3 linked regions of the Sus scrofa genome follow. The protein of the gene in region 3 binds, or shares a complex with, the protein of the main gene of each other region. Links are inferred from orthologs where the notes say so. Each region holds a gene or a part of one and is shown on either strand. Other genes may lie near its edges.

The links. The genes of interacting proteins can lie anywhere in the genome.
Region 1: the proteins of CNNM2 (region 3) and PTP4A1 are in contact, whole or in part, in a crystal structure (PDB 5MMZ), measured with the Mus musculus proteins. The link is inferred for Sus scrofa from reciprocal best matches to the Homo sapiens genes CNNM2 and PTP4A1. Residues at the interface, in NP_291047.2 of Mus musculus: Phe526, Asp528, Val551, Asn553, Glu556, Gly557, Asp558, Pro559, Phe560, Tyr561; in NP_035330.1 of Mus musculus: Asp72, Gly73, Ala74, Gly107, Leu108, Gly109, Arg110, Arg137, Arg138, Gly139, Ala140, Phe141, Asn142, Lys144, Gln145.
Region 2: the proteins of CNNM2 (region 3) and ARL15 are in contact, whole or in part, in a crystal structure (PDB 8F6D), measured with the Homo sapiens proteins. The link is inferred for Sus scrofa from reciprocal best matches to the Homo sapiens genes CNNM2 and ARL15. Residues at the interface, in NP_060119.3 of Homo sapiens: Asn490, Val492, Pro521, Leu522, His523, Phe524, Val525, Phe526, Thr529, Glu537, Lys542, Ser543, Gln549; in NP_061960.1 of Homo sapiens: Tyr92, Ser94, Arg95, Gln98, Gln128, His129, Pro130, Gln131, Cys133.

What each region holds. Positions count from the first base shown.
Region 1 is NC_010443.5:45,168,577-45,173,315, forward strand, and holds the start of PTP4A1 (protein tyrosine phosphatase type IVA 1), read left to right. Parts: upstream 1-1,336; 5' UTR 1,337-2,120; intron 2,121-4,739. UniProt on the Homo sapiens protein: Protein tyrosine phosphatase which stimulates progression from G1 into S phase during mitosis. May play a role in the development and maintenance of differentiating epithelial tissues.
Region 2 is NC_010458.4:33,572,146-33,577,159, reverse strand, and holds the start of ARL15 (ADP-ribosylation factor-like protein 15), read left to right. Parts: upstream 1-1,611; 5' UTR 1,612-1,626; coding exon 1,627-1,809; intron 1,810-5,014.
Region 3 is NC_010456.5:114,050,470-114,054,726, reverse strand, and holds part of CNNM2 (metal transporter CNNM2), read right to left. Parts: intron 3,139-4,257; coding exon 2,954-3,138; intron 2,320-2,953; coding exon 2,110-2,319; 3' UTR 1-2,109.

The DNA.
Region 1 (4,739 bases), on a different chromosome or scaffold from region 3:
TATTTTTTTATTTTTTTACCTACACTATTGTATATGTTGCTCAAGCTTTTCCATATCAAAGTTTTAAATTTTTACATAATGAAATCTGACTTTTCCTTTGTGACTTGAGTTCCCTTATCTTCTTAACAAGGTTTCTCTCATCCTAGGACAATTTTTTCAATACTCCTATTTTTTTTAGGATTTTAAATATTTACATTTTTACTCGTTTATAGTTTGTGAAGGGACATCATATATTTCTCAAGCTCTTTAATCTTCCTTGATGTAGATGGATTCAGAAGTGTCCTAGGCAAGCAATTTCTTTAAAATGAAGATGACTTCTGTTCCTGTGAAAGCCTGCCTGATCCAGTTCTTTATTTTTTTGAAAGCACTTTGTTTGCAGAGTATATGCTTATAAACAAAGTTGAATATCACAAATGTCATAATATCATTTATATGTGGAATCTAAAAAAAAAATGATATAAATGAACTTATTTACAAAACCGAAACAGATTCACAGACTTTTAAAACAAACTTATGGTTACCAGAGAAGAAAGGTTGGAGGAGGGATAAATTAGGAGTTTGGGATTAACATATACACAATATTCTTTATAAAACAGATAACTGACAAGGACCTGCTGTATAGCACAGGGAACTGTACTCAATATTCTGTAATAATTTATGTGGGGAAAAGAAGGGATATAGGTATAACTGAATCACTTTGCTATACACCTGAAACACATTGTAAATCAACTATGCTCCAATAAAAATTTTTAAAAAGTTGTCTACACAAGCACAGTCTCTTAAGTAGACGTTTTAATAAATCCTAAGATGCTGCAGTACACTGACCAAGAAAACAATTTGATCCCTAAAGCCCTCTCCAATCTATGCTCAGTGAAAACAGCAAACAAAAGGCCTGAGTAGAAAACCTAGTTCTTCAAAGCAGGTAAAACTCCTGTTTACTCCTTCCAGAAGAGAAAGAGTTTTCAGATCATAAAAGACAGAATTGCCCGGGTGCAAGACAGAACAACTGTGATAAGGCTTTACTTCCTAAAAGTCTAAATTACGAACAGTGGAACAGTTCTGAAAATGAACAAAAAGGAAAGCAATAGCTTTGAGGCAAAGAATCACATCAGTCTGGCAAAATCGAAGATTCTTAATTTTTAAAACGCTGCCTAACCTTTTATTATCTGTGACAACACATCAAGTGAGCAGCAGTACAAAGGATGCCTGTGATTTAGAAATGCCACGCTTGAGCCAACTACAGTTGCCCGCGTGCGTAGCATGAAGGCGTGACCAAAAAAGACTGGGGAACAGAGGGCTTTATCTGCATCACAAGACACTCTCCGTTTTCTATACACGAATGTTTGCTGAAATAAGTCCTCTCCGCTCGCGCTACCGGGGGCAGGACCGAAACATCACAGGTGTTGTCGCGGGCAGGTGGAGCCACAGGAAGATTTCACGTTGGGGATCGCAGGGCGCAGGTGCCCAGGCAAACCGCTGGTCAAAATGACTGGGATCTGACTTACGGCAAAAGAAGTAGGCCTGGGATTGAGACTACGCTCCAGTCCGAAGTGCACTGCATTCTAGTTGAGGCCAACTTCGGGCCTCCTCCTGAGATGAGAGTGCACTCGTCAGGGGTTTAGTTACGTAGAGCAGCCTCTCATCCCCGTACGGGGCTTCCCCTGCAGACCCTCCAATGACCCTTCCCACCCCCGCCTGGTAGGCGCTCTGATTGCAGCCGGTCGCCATTCATCAACCGGTTCACACCGGCGGCCGCCGCCGCGCTGTGACGTCGGCGAGGCGGGCCTCCGCCCCCGCTCGTCGGCGCTAGGATTGAGGCCCGACTGCGATTGGCCGCCTGGGCGTTCACGTCACTCTTGCTATAAATAAGAGGGCTTGTGACGCAAGGGCGCCTCGGCGCACGTATTGGCTCATTGGGCTGCGGGCCGGCGAGGCTGCGCGCTCTCCCCGGAGCCGCTCGCTGCAGGATCGAGTCCACTGCCCTCGCTGCCTCCAGCGAAGCCGCCGCTAGCCCGCGAGGACCACCGCCACCCCTGCCCTACCGCTGCCGCCTGTGTCGCCGCCGCCTCGGGACCGGCTGTATGATTAAGCCACAATCTTCAATGAGTAGACATATTCCTGTGAGTACCCGTACCCCGTGCCGCCGCCTTTGTTCGGAGCCTGGCTCCGCCCGGGTCCCGCTGGTACTGGCGGGCGAGCGCTGAGGGCCAAGCCCGGGGCGCCGGGCTGCGCGGTGGCACGGGAGCCGCTTTGTGACCACCACCTCGCTCCGGCACCCGGCGGCGCCCCAAGGCCCCTTTGTCTGCCGCAGGGCCCGGGAGCGGGGACGTGGCCCGGGTGGGGCGCGGGTTGCGCGTCACTGCAGCGGGCGCGCCCCCAGACCCTGCGGGCGGGTGGGCGAGGCGGCTGCTCGCGGGCTGGGCCGGACTCCTTCGCGGAGCCGGCGGGATTGGGCCTGTGCGGCCACCCAGGGCCCCGCGGCTGCGGCCGGCGCTCGGACAAAATGGCCTCGGCGCCGGACTGAAGACGCGGCGCGAACCCGTGACCCGGGCCCGCGCGGCCCCACCAGGTGAGCGGCCCGCCCCGCCCCACCGGCTCCGGACAATGGGAGCAAGTCCGGGCTCGTCCCTGCTCCGGGGCGGGGCAGGAGGGAAGCGGCCTGGGTCTGAGCCTGGGGAAGCTTCCGGGCCGCACTGCGCGAAGCCAAGGGGGCCCGGTGCCGCCTTTTAATCCGGCACCCTTAGAACTTCCTGAAACCCCAGATGTGCTGTGTTTGTTGCCTCCTGTTGGCTTGCATCGCAGGGCCCAGCCAGAGCCAGAATTCTGAGGTTTATCTCTGTCCGTGGAACCCTCTGCGGTTCCAAATGTATTTCATCGTTATTTACACTGCAGTTAGAACTATCGATTTGCTTGAGATCTAGATTATGAGCCAGTGCTTCCCGTTACTCTATATGTGAATTTTGTTTGGTGGCAGTGAAAAAGTTGAAAATCAGAAAGCTAGATCATTCTGAAAACTAATCAGCATTTTATACTTGTTATATTCCAGGTGCATTGCCTAAGGTATAGGTAGATGAGGCACAAATTGCAACTACCTACCATCTGATAAAATAGTTAACACAGATTATTGTGATTATGTACAACTGATAAGTGGAAGAAGAAAAAATTCCTTGGTATTTCTAGATTGCCTATCATGGATAGGTTTTCCTGGGGCGAAGACATTGGGAATGGGGAAGTCCTGGGCAGAACAGAAAGGTGTTAGGTGTGCACAGTCACTTCCGCTTTTGTGGAAATTCATCACCCGTCTGTCCCCTACTGGGTGGCTCTATCCAGTCCACTGAAAGAATTATTTCTGTATTGCTTTCTGTGCTTCCTTGTGAGAAATTGCTAGTTGAAGGGATATGGCCAGACAGCTGTAACAGGAATTTTAGTTAAGTATGGAAGTAGTATTGTGTGTTTCTCTACAGATCGCCTTTAACTTGAAAAAAGTAGTACCTGGAAGTCAGAATACTGAGATTAGAGTCTTTGACCTTAACAGCTTTGCAAATTAATTTATCGTCATTGGGAAGGTGCCAGAAGACACTTTTTATTCCAAGGAAGTAGTATTTAGGATTTGAGGTAGAAAATATAATTGGAATTACTTCAGTTACTGCAGTCTCAGGTAAAGTGTTTGGGGCAGTGGCTGGTTCTTGGTGCTGTTATTAACCTGTTCTTAATGTTTGTCCTTTGTTTACTCCCAACCACACTACACACAAGCTCCTTATAAAGTACTTGGAAGAAGAGCAACAGCAATATCAATGCTTTTTGTGTATTCATTCTGAAAATACCCTGTGAATATTCATTTAATATTTGACATTGGCATAAAACTGTTTTGGTTTCTTAAGAAGACCTTAGGAAAAACATGATTGGTAGTAGTAGTAATCTTGCTCTTGAGACATGGGAGAAAAAAATGGAATTTACACCACTGCCCTCAGCCCCTCCCCCCCACCTCCTTCTCTCTTTTCTTTGGATTAGATTTTAGTTAAAGATGGAATAAGTGGAATTTGGGCTTTACAATCAAAAAATTTTTACTGAAATTATGAACAGCTTTTTTATAGTTATAAGTGGGAATTATTTATGTATATACATTTCTTTGTAATACTTCACATAACAAGTTGGTTAACTTCCAAAGTCTCAAATGAGAGATAATCTGTTAAAGGGGAATGATAAATTAAGAATCAAATGAGATGGCGTGTATGTAAGTGTTTTGAAAACCAGTTTTGTTTTGTTTTGTTTTTCTCTTGAGAATATTGGTTAAGTCTTTAAAGGAATAAGTGAATTACACAAAGACTAACAGCTTTCGAGTATTCATGAAGTTTGTAATGTGTTAATATTTTGGAAAAATCGGTATAGAAAGTTGCACCTGGTTTTTTGTTTGTTTTTGTCTTTTTATGGCTGCACTTGTGGCATATGGAAGTGCCAAGCTAGGGGTTGAATTGGAGCTGTAGCTGCCAGCCTACACCACAGCTTACAGTAGTGTTGGATGCTTAATCCACTGAGTGAGACCAAGGATCGAACCTGCGTTCTTAGGGATACTAGTTGGGTTCCTTAACTGCTGAGCCACAAGGACAGGAACTCCTGTGCATGGTAGTTTATAACAATGTAAAGGAAACAGCTATTAAAAGGAATAATTAATAAAAGAATGTGTATAAGGAATATTCACCAAATAAAACGGGTATTCTTCTTGCAAGCGGTTTTTGTAT
Region 2 (5,014 bases), on a different chromosome or scaffold from region 3:
ATAACAGTAACTATTAATCCTAATAGCCCAGTGATGTATGCGTTTGTTTCCTTATCTATCAAATGGGGTAAATAAGTTACAGAGAAGTTACGTAACACGCCTGAGGTCACAGAACTGGAAAGAGGTAAAGCTAAGATTCAAACCCGGGCAGCTGGCTATAGCACGTATACTGTTAACAACTATACACAAAACAGCATGATAAATACCAGCATATAAATATGCATAAGTGCTTCAGCCACAGAGAGGAGGGCACTATCTTCAAATTAAGGGTAGTTAAGAAGTGTTTCGACATAATACCCTCTGTGATTTTGAATGTTATCATGTTGAATTGATACATCAACTTGAGAATTACACCTCTAAAACAGTCTTTCCATCCATGAACATCACATGTATTCAAGTTTTAGATTTCTCTCACAATCCTATGGTCGTAAGGATTATGTTTAGGTGCCTTTAGAATTTCTACTTTAAAGGTTATTTTAAAATACATCTCCTGGAGAAAAAGGAACCCTATTGCACTGTTGGTGGGATTGTAAATTGGTGCAACCACTGTGGAAAACAGTGTGGAGATTCCTCAGAAAACTAAACGTAGAACTACCATTTGATCCAGCAATCCCACTCCTGGGCATCTATGCAGAGAAAACCATGACTCGAAAAGACACACATACTCCAGTGTTCATTGCAGCACTCTTTTCAATAGCCAAGACATGGGAACAACCTAAATGTCCATCGACAGAGGAGTGGATCAAGAAGATGTGGCACATATACACAATGGAATATTACTCAGCCATTAAAAGGAACGAGATACTGGCATTTTTTAGCAACATGGATGGACCTAGAAATTATCATGCTAAGTGAGGTGAGCCATACCATGAGACACCAACATCAAATGTTTTCACTGACATGTGAAATCTGAAAAAAGGACAGACTGAACTTCTTTATAGAACAGATGCTGACTCACAGATTTTGAAAAACTTATGGTCTCCAGAGGAGACAGTTTGGGGGGTTTAGGGATGTGGTTGGGTTGTGGGATGGAAATCCTGTGAAACTGGATTGTGATGATCATTGTTAAAAAAATTAAAGATAAAAAAATGAAAAATAAATAAATAAATAAATAAAAGTGTTCTTTCCAAAAATAAAAAAATTAAAAAAATAAAATACATCTCCTAACTTTGTTGCTAAGTAACTAGAAACCCAATTTTATATTGATTTTTAAGGAGTAACACGATTTTTTCATTTTAATAACTGATATGTAGATTTGTGTTTTACACACACGACCACAATCTGCAGATGAGCTGTTTGCTTCTTTCCATTTTTATTGTTTATATTTTTGTCTGATAATGCTGTCCAGGGCCTTTGCTATAACAGCACAGAAGCAGTGATAATTGGCACCCTTATCTTTTTCCTGACTTTAAAGCAAAGGCTTTTAAATGTTGTATCATTGAATACACTTGTGTAAGGTTTTTGTAACTATCCCTCACAATCTGAATATATTGCCAACCTGGAATGTTGTTAAGGGCTGAATTGCCTACTCCCACCCCCAAATACACAGGTTCAAGTGCTAACCCCCGTACCTCAGATAGTGATTGGGTAGGCAGATAGGGCTGTTGAGGAGGTAATTAAGTAAAAATGAGGAGGTCATGGTGGACCCTAAGCCAATTTGACTGGAGCCTTTATAAGGGGAGGAGCTTTAGGCCGCAAAGAGCAGCCCACGTTAGGGGGGTACGCATCGGTGGAGGTGAGGACTCGGAGAAGGCGTGTGTCTGCCGGCTGGGGAGAGAGGCCTCAGAAGAGACCAACTCTGGAATAGCTGTAAGATTGGAACTTTTTGTTCTGGATTGTTTATTAGAACTTGATTGTACACTGTGGCGTGGCGCTTCTGTAGGAAGGTTTTAAAATTGCTATTTCTTTAATGGTAATGTGTCTTTTTCACTTAAAGTTGTGCACATTTGTGGTGTTTTGGGTCTGAAAATTGGGTTATAGAAGCTTTGCTAGAATTACTTGATAATTTCTTCCCACCAGCATTACTGTTTTTCTTTCTTTGTTTTGAAACATCTAAGTGGGTTTTATGTCTCCAGGTTGATATGCTAATTTCCTTTACCCAACTGCTTTTCATTTACCTTTTTGGTGATTTCCTTAGCTTTCTTCTACTCCTACTGAATTTACTCTTTGCTTTTAGGTTCTACCTGGTATCTGTGAGGTCAAACCCTTTCCAGTTTAATCTCAGAAGGAAACTTTCATGCTGGTCTTTGTTCAGGGCACTGGTGGGATGGTGACCTGGCTTTGCAGAGTGGGGCAGATCAATGGGCTCAAGTGAGTCTTTAAGACTCACAGCTGGAGTTCTCTTGTGGCACAGTGGATTAAGGATATGGTGGTGTTACTGCTGTGGCTTGAGACGCTGCTGCAGTGTGGGTTCAAAATGCCACAAGAGTGGCCAAAAATAAAAATTAAAAACAACAACAGCAAAAAATAAGACTCACGCCAGTTTGGTATTTTCAGCCTCAGGTGCTTCTTTTCCCTGAGCTGCTGGGAGCCCTGTAGCGGGAATCGGCTTGCTTCTCTCTGGCTTTCTCCACTCAAGAATTGAGGAGTCAACCTTTTCTCTGTTCTGTCTTGTTAACTGCCACCTCTGTAGCCACTATCTTACAAAATGGTTCATCTCTCATAAGCTCATGTCTCTAATTCTATCTTTGTGGATCTCATTCTTTTACTGCCAAATGGAGGTGAGGGAGTTGTCTTAATACTTCTACAGCAGTCAAAGGGGTGAAGAGTTACTCTGTAAATAGGGAAGGAAATTCTTTATCTTATTAATATGTGGTACTGGGAACTTTATTTCATCTGACTTTTGCTGTGAGATTTCAGGATGTTGATTGTGGGGTCAGGTGGATTTGTTAACTTTTCTCTTCACTCTCAGAGCTGCCCATCTCAGAAGGTACTAAGTATGTTCAAGCAGTGACACAATGACACAACAGGGTTGGTTGTAGTAAATGGCAAAGTCCACATGCTTAGCAACCCACCAGTCTTGAATGGTGTAAGGGCTATATGTAAGGTACCAAGCTAGGCTACCGAAAGAAGTTCACATACCACAAGCAGCTGACAAGGAGAAGCAAAATTCAAGAAAGGACTCATGCAGTTGCCTGGCGTGTAATGAGCTGATAGTTTGCAGCTGTCAGCTCTTTCAGGCTCTGCTTCAACCTTGGGGTTGGTACTTTTCTTGGGATTCTTCCTTCTTGAAGTTGCCCCCTCAACCAATGACGAAACAAGTTGCTGGTACAAAGGTCTAGCTGTTTCTGCCCAGCTTGGTCGTCTCTATTGGGCAATTTTTGCTTGGGAGTTCCCAGTAGAGGCTTTGTTAGGTGTGTATAATGTTCTGTGGTTACTTGCTACCCCCATCTTAATCCCACAGCTATTTTCTTTCACAGGTGCTGTATGTTAATAAACCTTCTGTATTTCTAATTCTTTGTCAGTGTTTGCTTCCCTGAAGGCCCAACTTGTACCAACATGAAACACAGTATCTATAAAGTCTTTGAGGAAGAGAAGATGTTCAGAAAAATAAAACAATAAAAACAATTTAAACAGTAAAAAAGTGTCTATCATTTACAAGAATGATCTGAATTGTCAACTTTGAGACTGTAAAAGATATGATTTGGCTTTTGGGGTCATAGGTGTTATGAAGGCAGGCATGTCAGTTTGTTTACAGAAGGTTTTTAAGTTGTAATTTTTAAAAGAAATGACTAGGTCTTCTTGGGTTATGGGAAGGAAATCCTGTAAAATTGGATTATTATCATTATATAATTACAAATGTGATAAAGTCATTTGAGTAATAAAAAATGACTAGGTCTTTTTAACATTATTAAAGTTCCTAGGGAATTAATATATTACATTTCATTATCTTGAACTATGTTTTAATATGTTCTTGATTAGGGTATACTAAGGACATATTACAATCTGTTTCTTGAAAACAGACTTCTAATCCAATGGCAATTGGTTTTTAAGGTTTGGTTAATTTCCAGTCAGAATTGATCTTTTAATATGAGTTTAAGTGGCTGATCTCAGTCTTGAAAGCATCTTTATTTTTCAAAAAGCATTTTTTCACATGTTGAAATAACTATCAAGAAATAAGGTGGTTGTGTGTGTGTGTGGTTTTCTGTTTGTTTGTTTTCAGGGCTGCACCTGTAGCATATGGAGGTTCCCAGGCTAGGGGTCCAGTCGGAGCTACGGCCACCGGCCTACACCACAGCAACACAGGATCTGAGCCGTGTCTTCGACCTACACCACAGCTCAAGGCAATGTCAGATCCTTAACCCACTGAGGAGGCCAGGGATCGAACCTGCAGCAACCTCATAGTTCGTAGTTGGATTTGTTTCTGCTGTGCCACAACGGGAACTCCACAATGAGCATATGTTATAGTTGATGATAAATAGCTGATTTTTCTGGTTTACCGTCCTTATTTCCTTATAATATGGCTATCAAGTAGGGCTTAGGATCTTCGTTATTCAAAGACTTTCAAAGAAGGTAGCATGCTATTCTTTCATGCAAGATAAAGTAGTGCAGATGTTTCATTTCACAGAAGATTCAAAACTACCCTAAACATTGTACAATTATAATCAGATTTTATCCTTCAATATTCTTAGACTAGAAAAACTAGTGGGGTTCAAAAGTTGTGGAGAGTGAAAGACTAATAAAAATTATGAGAAGCAAAACAGTTTTTTATAAGAACTCATAGTTAAATGTTAGAGGAAGGAGATAGCATTCATATTTGACCAATTCTAGAAATGACAGAACAGTAGAAAGTCTAGCTATTGGTGAGGAAGGAAAAGAAAAGAGAGAAACAGGACCGAAGAAAAACTTCATATTGATGTCATCAAAAAAAATGGAGACCAAAGGTACAACAAAACAGCATTATTCATAATAACTGAAATGTGGAAACAGCCCAAATGGCCATCAATGGACAAATGGGTAAATGTTATATCCATACAATAGAATATTATTTGGCCATAGAAAGCAGTGGACATGG
Region 3 (4,257 bases):
CCCAGAGGCAGAAGCTTCCTCCCCAGCAAGGCCTGGGTTTCACTTTGTTACAGGGAACTCTCTTGTTTCCGTGCCCCTTACAGACAGCCTCGGATGCCATGTCACGCCAAGCTGGCATTGTCCTCAGCAAGACACATCATTAGAAAGTGAGGCCTTTACGTCTGGATAGATTTGTTTACAAAAGGGGGCACTTGCAGTGCTGCACCCCACTAATGTCAAGTTCCACCATAGCAGCTTGGACACCAGCAGCAGGCCTGGGTTCCGTTAGGGGGCGCCCTGATGTCCACCAGGTGAGGCCAGTACTTCCCTGAGGGATGTGGTACCTTCTGAGGAAGCCACTCCCTGACTGAGGTTCCAGAAGAAATGCTGAGCCAGGGGCGCATCTGACACTGAAGCCACTGAGCTGCTGGCTGGAAAGCAAGCCCAGCACACACTGCTGGCCTCCCCCCCGCCACCCACAGCTCCCGCCCGGCAGAGCCCAGCCTGGGGAGCACCATCCTACCTGGACGAAGGAGAAGAGAACTGCTGCTTAGCCCCAGGGCTGCCCTTTGCTCAGTGGGACCCACTGGAGAAAAGGCTATCCTCTCGCCTAGTGACTGGATGCAGCGCAGACTGACAGTTCTATGTGAAAACAGCGCTCAGGAGCAATTCATTTCAGTGTATAAATGTTGCCGACAAAATGCACGTCTCCCTTGGGTTAACACTTAAAACACAGATAAGATAATTAAGAGCTCAGTCACTCAAGAAATACCGCCTGACATTAATTTCACTACACGTGATGAATTTGGTATTAAAATAAGACAGAGACACACACGAAATGGCCACAACACACATTTGGTTTCTGAATCCCTGTTTGGGGCCAACCGACCCTGGCTGTACAGGCAGCCTCTCTGGCGTGGACCGCGTCTGAGGCGGGAGGCACAGAGGTCCTCGGGCGGGGACACGGCCACTGCTGGGCCCCATGGGCCCAGGGACAGAGGGGAAGAGGGACAGTTGGCTCCCTGGAAGGAGGGGCAGGGCTGCAGGCCCCAGAGTTCTCTCCTTTAAACACATGGGTCTAAAGATGCCCTCCTGGCGCAGAGCACAGAGCACAGCTGGAAGGTCCCACTTGTTTTCTGACAGTGACAGCGGGCAGGGGAGGGGCGTGGACACCATACCGCGAGTTTACTCAAGAGCCCTGTGGAAGATTTCCATTTGGCATCTGTGTAGCAGCATCTCGGGTTTACAAGAGCAAGGATGGGGCGGTGGGCGACGGCGCTCGGTAAGCCAGGGCGGGGAAGAGGCCAGGTTGTGGGAATGTCGCGTGAAGCCACCTTGCCTCTTGCCAATGATAAACCATGGGTGTAAAATTCATTAACATTCATTTTGGTGATAAAAATTCCTTAGAGTGGGAGCAAGATCACATTCCAAGCAAGCGTTAAACCTTTCTGAGGGAAAGGGACACCGTTAAACATTAACTTAAAACAACACTGAGCTCAGATCAGCGAGTGCGGGTCCCCGTGCGGGCGCCGCCCCACAGTGCCCACAGCCTTGTCAGGTCGGTGCCCACGCGGCTTTCTTCATTCATCCTTCAAGTTCGACAGCGACACCCCCTGGGGCACAGAGGAAGGGTGCCTCTCCCCAGGGGGCCCAAGGCAGGCCACCTGGAGGGGCAAGTCCATCCTCTCAGGGTCACATCATGGGGTCACGGCAGAGTTCAGACAGAACAACTTCAAACTCTGCAAAAGATACTTTTTAAAAACATGATCTCTCGGGGGGGAAAAAAATAGTAACTCTCGCAACAATTTTCAACTCCATGCAAATTAAGGGAGGAGGAGCGTGAATAATGGTAAAAGGTACAGCTGAAAAAATAAACATGATTCTATTAGGGCGGAAGAAGTTCATCTCCATAATTTCGAATGCCACGCTCTGGCTGTCAGGTTCACATCTCGGGTATCCATTCCTGCCCTCCCCAACCTCCTCTGCTGCTTCCAGGAAGGGGACAAAGTCTTTGGTCTCAGGATGTTGCAGGATGCAGCATGGCACGCAAGCTCACACTAATGGGATTCACGGTCAGATGGAGGAGGCCGGGCCTCAGGTTGGGGCCAGGGCCAGGGCCAGGGAGGGACATTAGATGGCGCCTTCGCTGTGCAGGCTGTGGTTGGCCTTGCTGTGCGTCACACAGTTCTGTTCATTGAGCAGGTTGGCCGTCTCGTCCGGCAACCCGTCGTGCAGCTCGGTAAGAGTCAATTCAATTTTAGTGTTTTCACTGTCTGAAGACTGAGGAGTTTTGTCCATCCGGGATGCCATCAAGGCATTTTGGTACTGCTGTCTTGAGATCTGGGGCCAGGAAATAGTGCAGAAAACAAACCACAATAATGTTTATTTTTTGGCTCCTATCTCCACATGGTATTAATTATACCTTAAATCCCCCTACAGGCCCCTCGCGGTTGCTCCAGGAGAAAACCATCCTTGAGTATAAACCGAGCCTTTTAAGCCTTTTAAAGGTCAAGTCGACTTTAGTGAACAAGTCAGTTTTTACTGATATATGTATGCCATTTCCAGATTTTATCTCAAAATTGCCCAGCGACTAGAAATGGAGATTGGCGTCCATGAGCTAGAGCTGGCCAGTGCCCCCAGGCTGCCTTTATTTCAGACTGAGGGAAGAACCTGGTCTCCAGGGCAGCAGGTATTCTGACAGGTCTCTTCAGGCTCCTTGTGTGGGGAGCTCTGAAGGACCGGCTAGAAGGGTTTACTCTTTTTCTCACCATCTCCAGCTCTCGCTCCCTGAAAAAGCCACATTGATGCGGCAGCCCAGCGGACAGAGCCAAGAAGATGGAGGGTCTTCCCAGCCTGAGTCATGGGGCATAAGTAGCTTGGAGACAGGCATCTGCAAGAGGACCAGGGGAGGCTGGGCAGCCCATGCTCCCGGTGGAAGCTACGCTGCAGCTGCCAGGCCGCTCCCCTCTCTCACCTTAACAAACTGGAGATCAGAGAGGGCTCGCACTGAGTAGTCAGGGATGTAGACTTGGAGGAATGAAGAGTTGAGCTGATTGTTGCTGCTTCCCAACGTCGGTGTCATCGCATCGATCCGGTCACTGCGACTCAGAGAGTCCGAGTGATTCAAGCCACACGGGCGTGGAGGTGACTTGTTTTCACCTGGAATAGGAGAAAAAAACCCGACCCGCCTTTAAAGTGAGGTAGCTATACTCAACATCAGCTCCTTATTTTCTGAATAACAAGTAATAATGAAGAGACAAGCTCAAGGAACTTAGACGAGGCGCCTCAGCCATGCAGCTCAGCGGCAGGGCCTCCTAGAGCACACTCCCGCTTCTCCTCAGCAAGGGGTTCCCGGCCCCGTCCATGTGGACAGACCCAACCCTCCCGAGTCCCCAACAGCAAAGACCCCGCAGCTGTACACACATGGTGTCAGGAGCACAGACCAGGGAGCCGAAACCTGAGACACAGAAGCTACTTGATACAAAACATGGGCTAGAGGAAGGCAGCAATGCATTATTTCGCCAGAAGCAAAAATAAAGGACTCTTGAGAATGTTCACAAATCAGTACATGTTTTAAAGGGATCAAAAGAGTGTGGAGTTCCCGTCATGGCGCAGCGGAAATGAATCCAACTGGGAACCATGAGGTTGCGGGTTCGATCCCTGGCCTCGCTCAGTGGGTTAAGGATCTGGCATTGCCATGAGCTGTGGTGTAGGTCACAGACAGCTCGGATCTGGCCTTGCTGTGGCTGTGGTGCAGGCTGGCAGCTATGGCTCCGATTAGACCCCTAGCCTGGGAGCCGCCATATGCTGTGGGTGTGGCCCTAAAAAGACAAAAGACAAAAAACTAAGTAAATAAAAAAGCTGTGTCTGCTCATACAATACCTCCCACCCAAACCTGTTCTCTTTGCCTCTGACCCCAGTAAAATCCCTGTGCGGCAGCCCCAGGACGTCTTAGGATTTCAAGACCCCTGGAAGACACCAAACCCTGAAAAGTTTTGATTAGGTGGCCTTGGACACTGAGGGAGTCTTTGATGAAACTGACTCTTCCACTAAAACAAAGTGAAAGGAAACTCGGGTGCTCTTAGAGGCAGGTTCACCGTAGTTTCTAATAAATTTCATTAAAAGGAAAAACCACCTCCTCACCACAGCTTCCTCCACTTTTGCCTTTTCAGTCAAATCTATTACACAAACACCACCTGCTGCCCACACCAGACAGGTCCCGAACTGCACAATGTCACAGGACCCAAGGGGACCGATTCTCCCGCCTGAAGGTTGGTT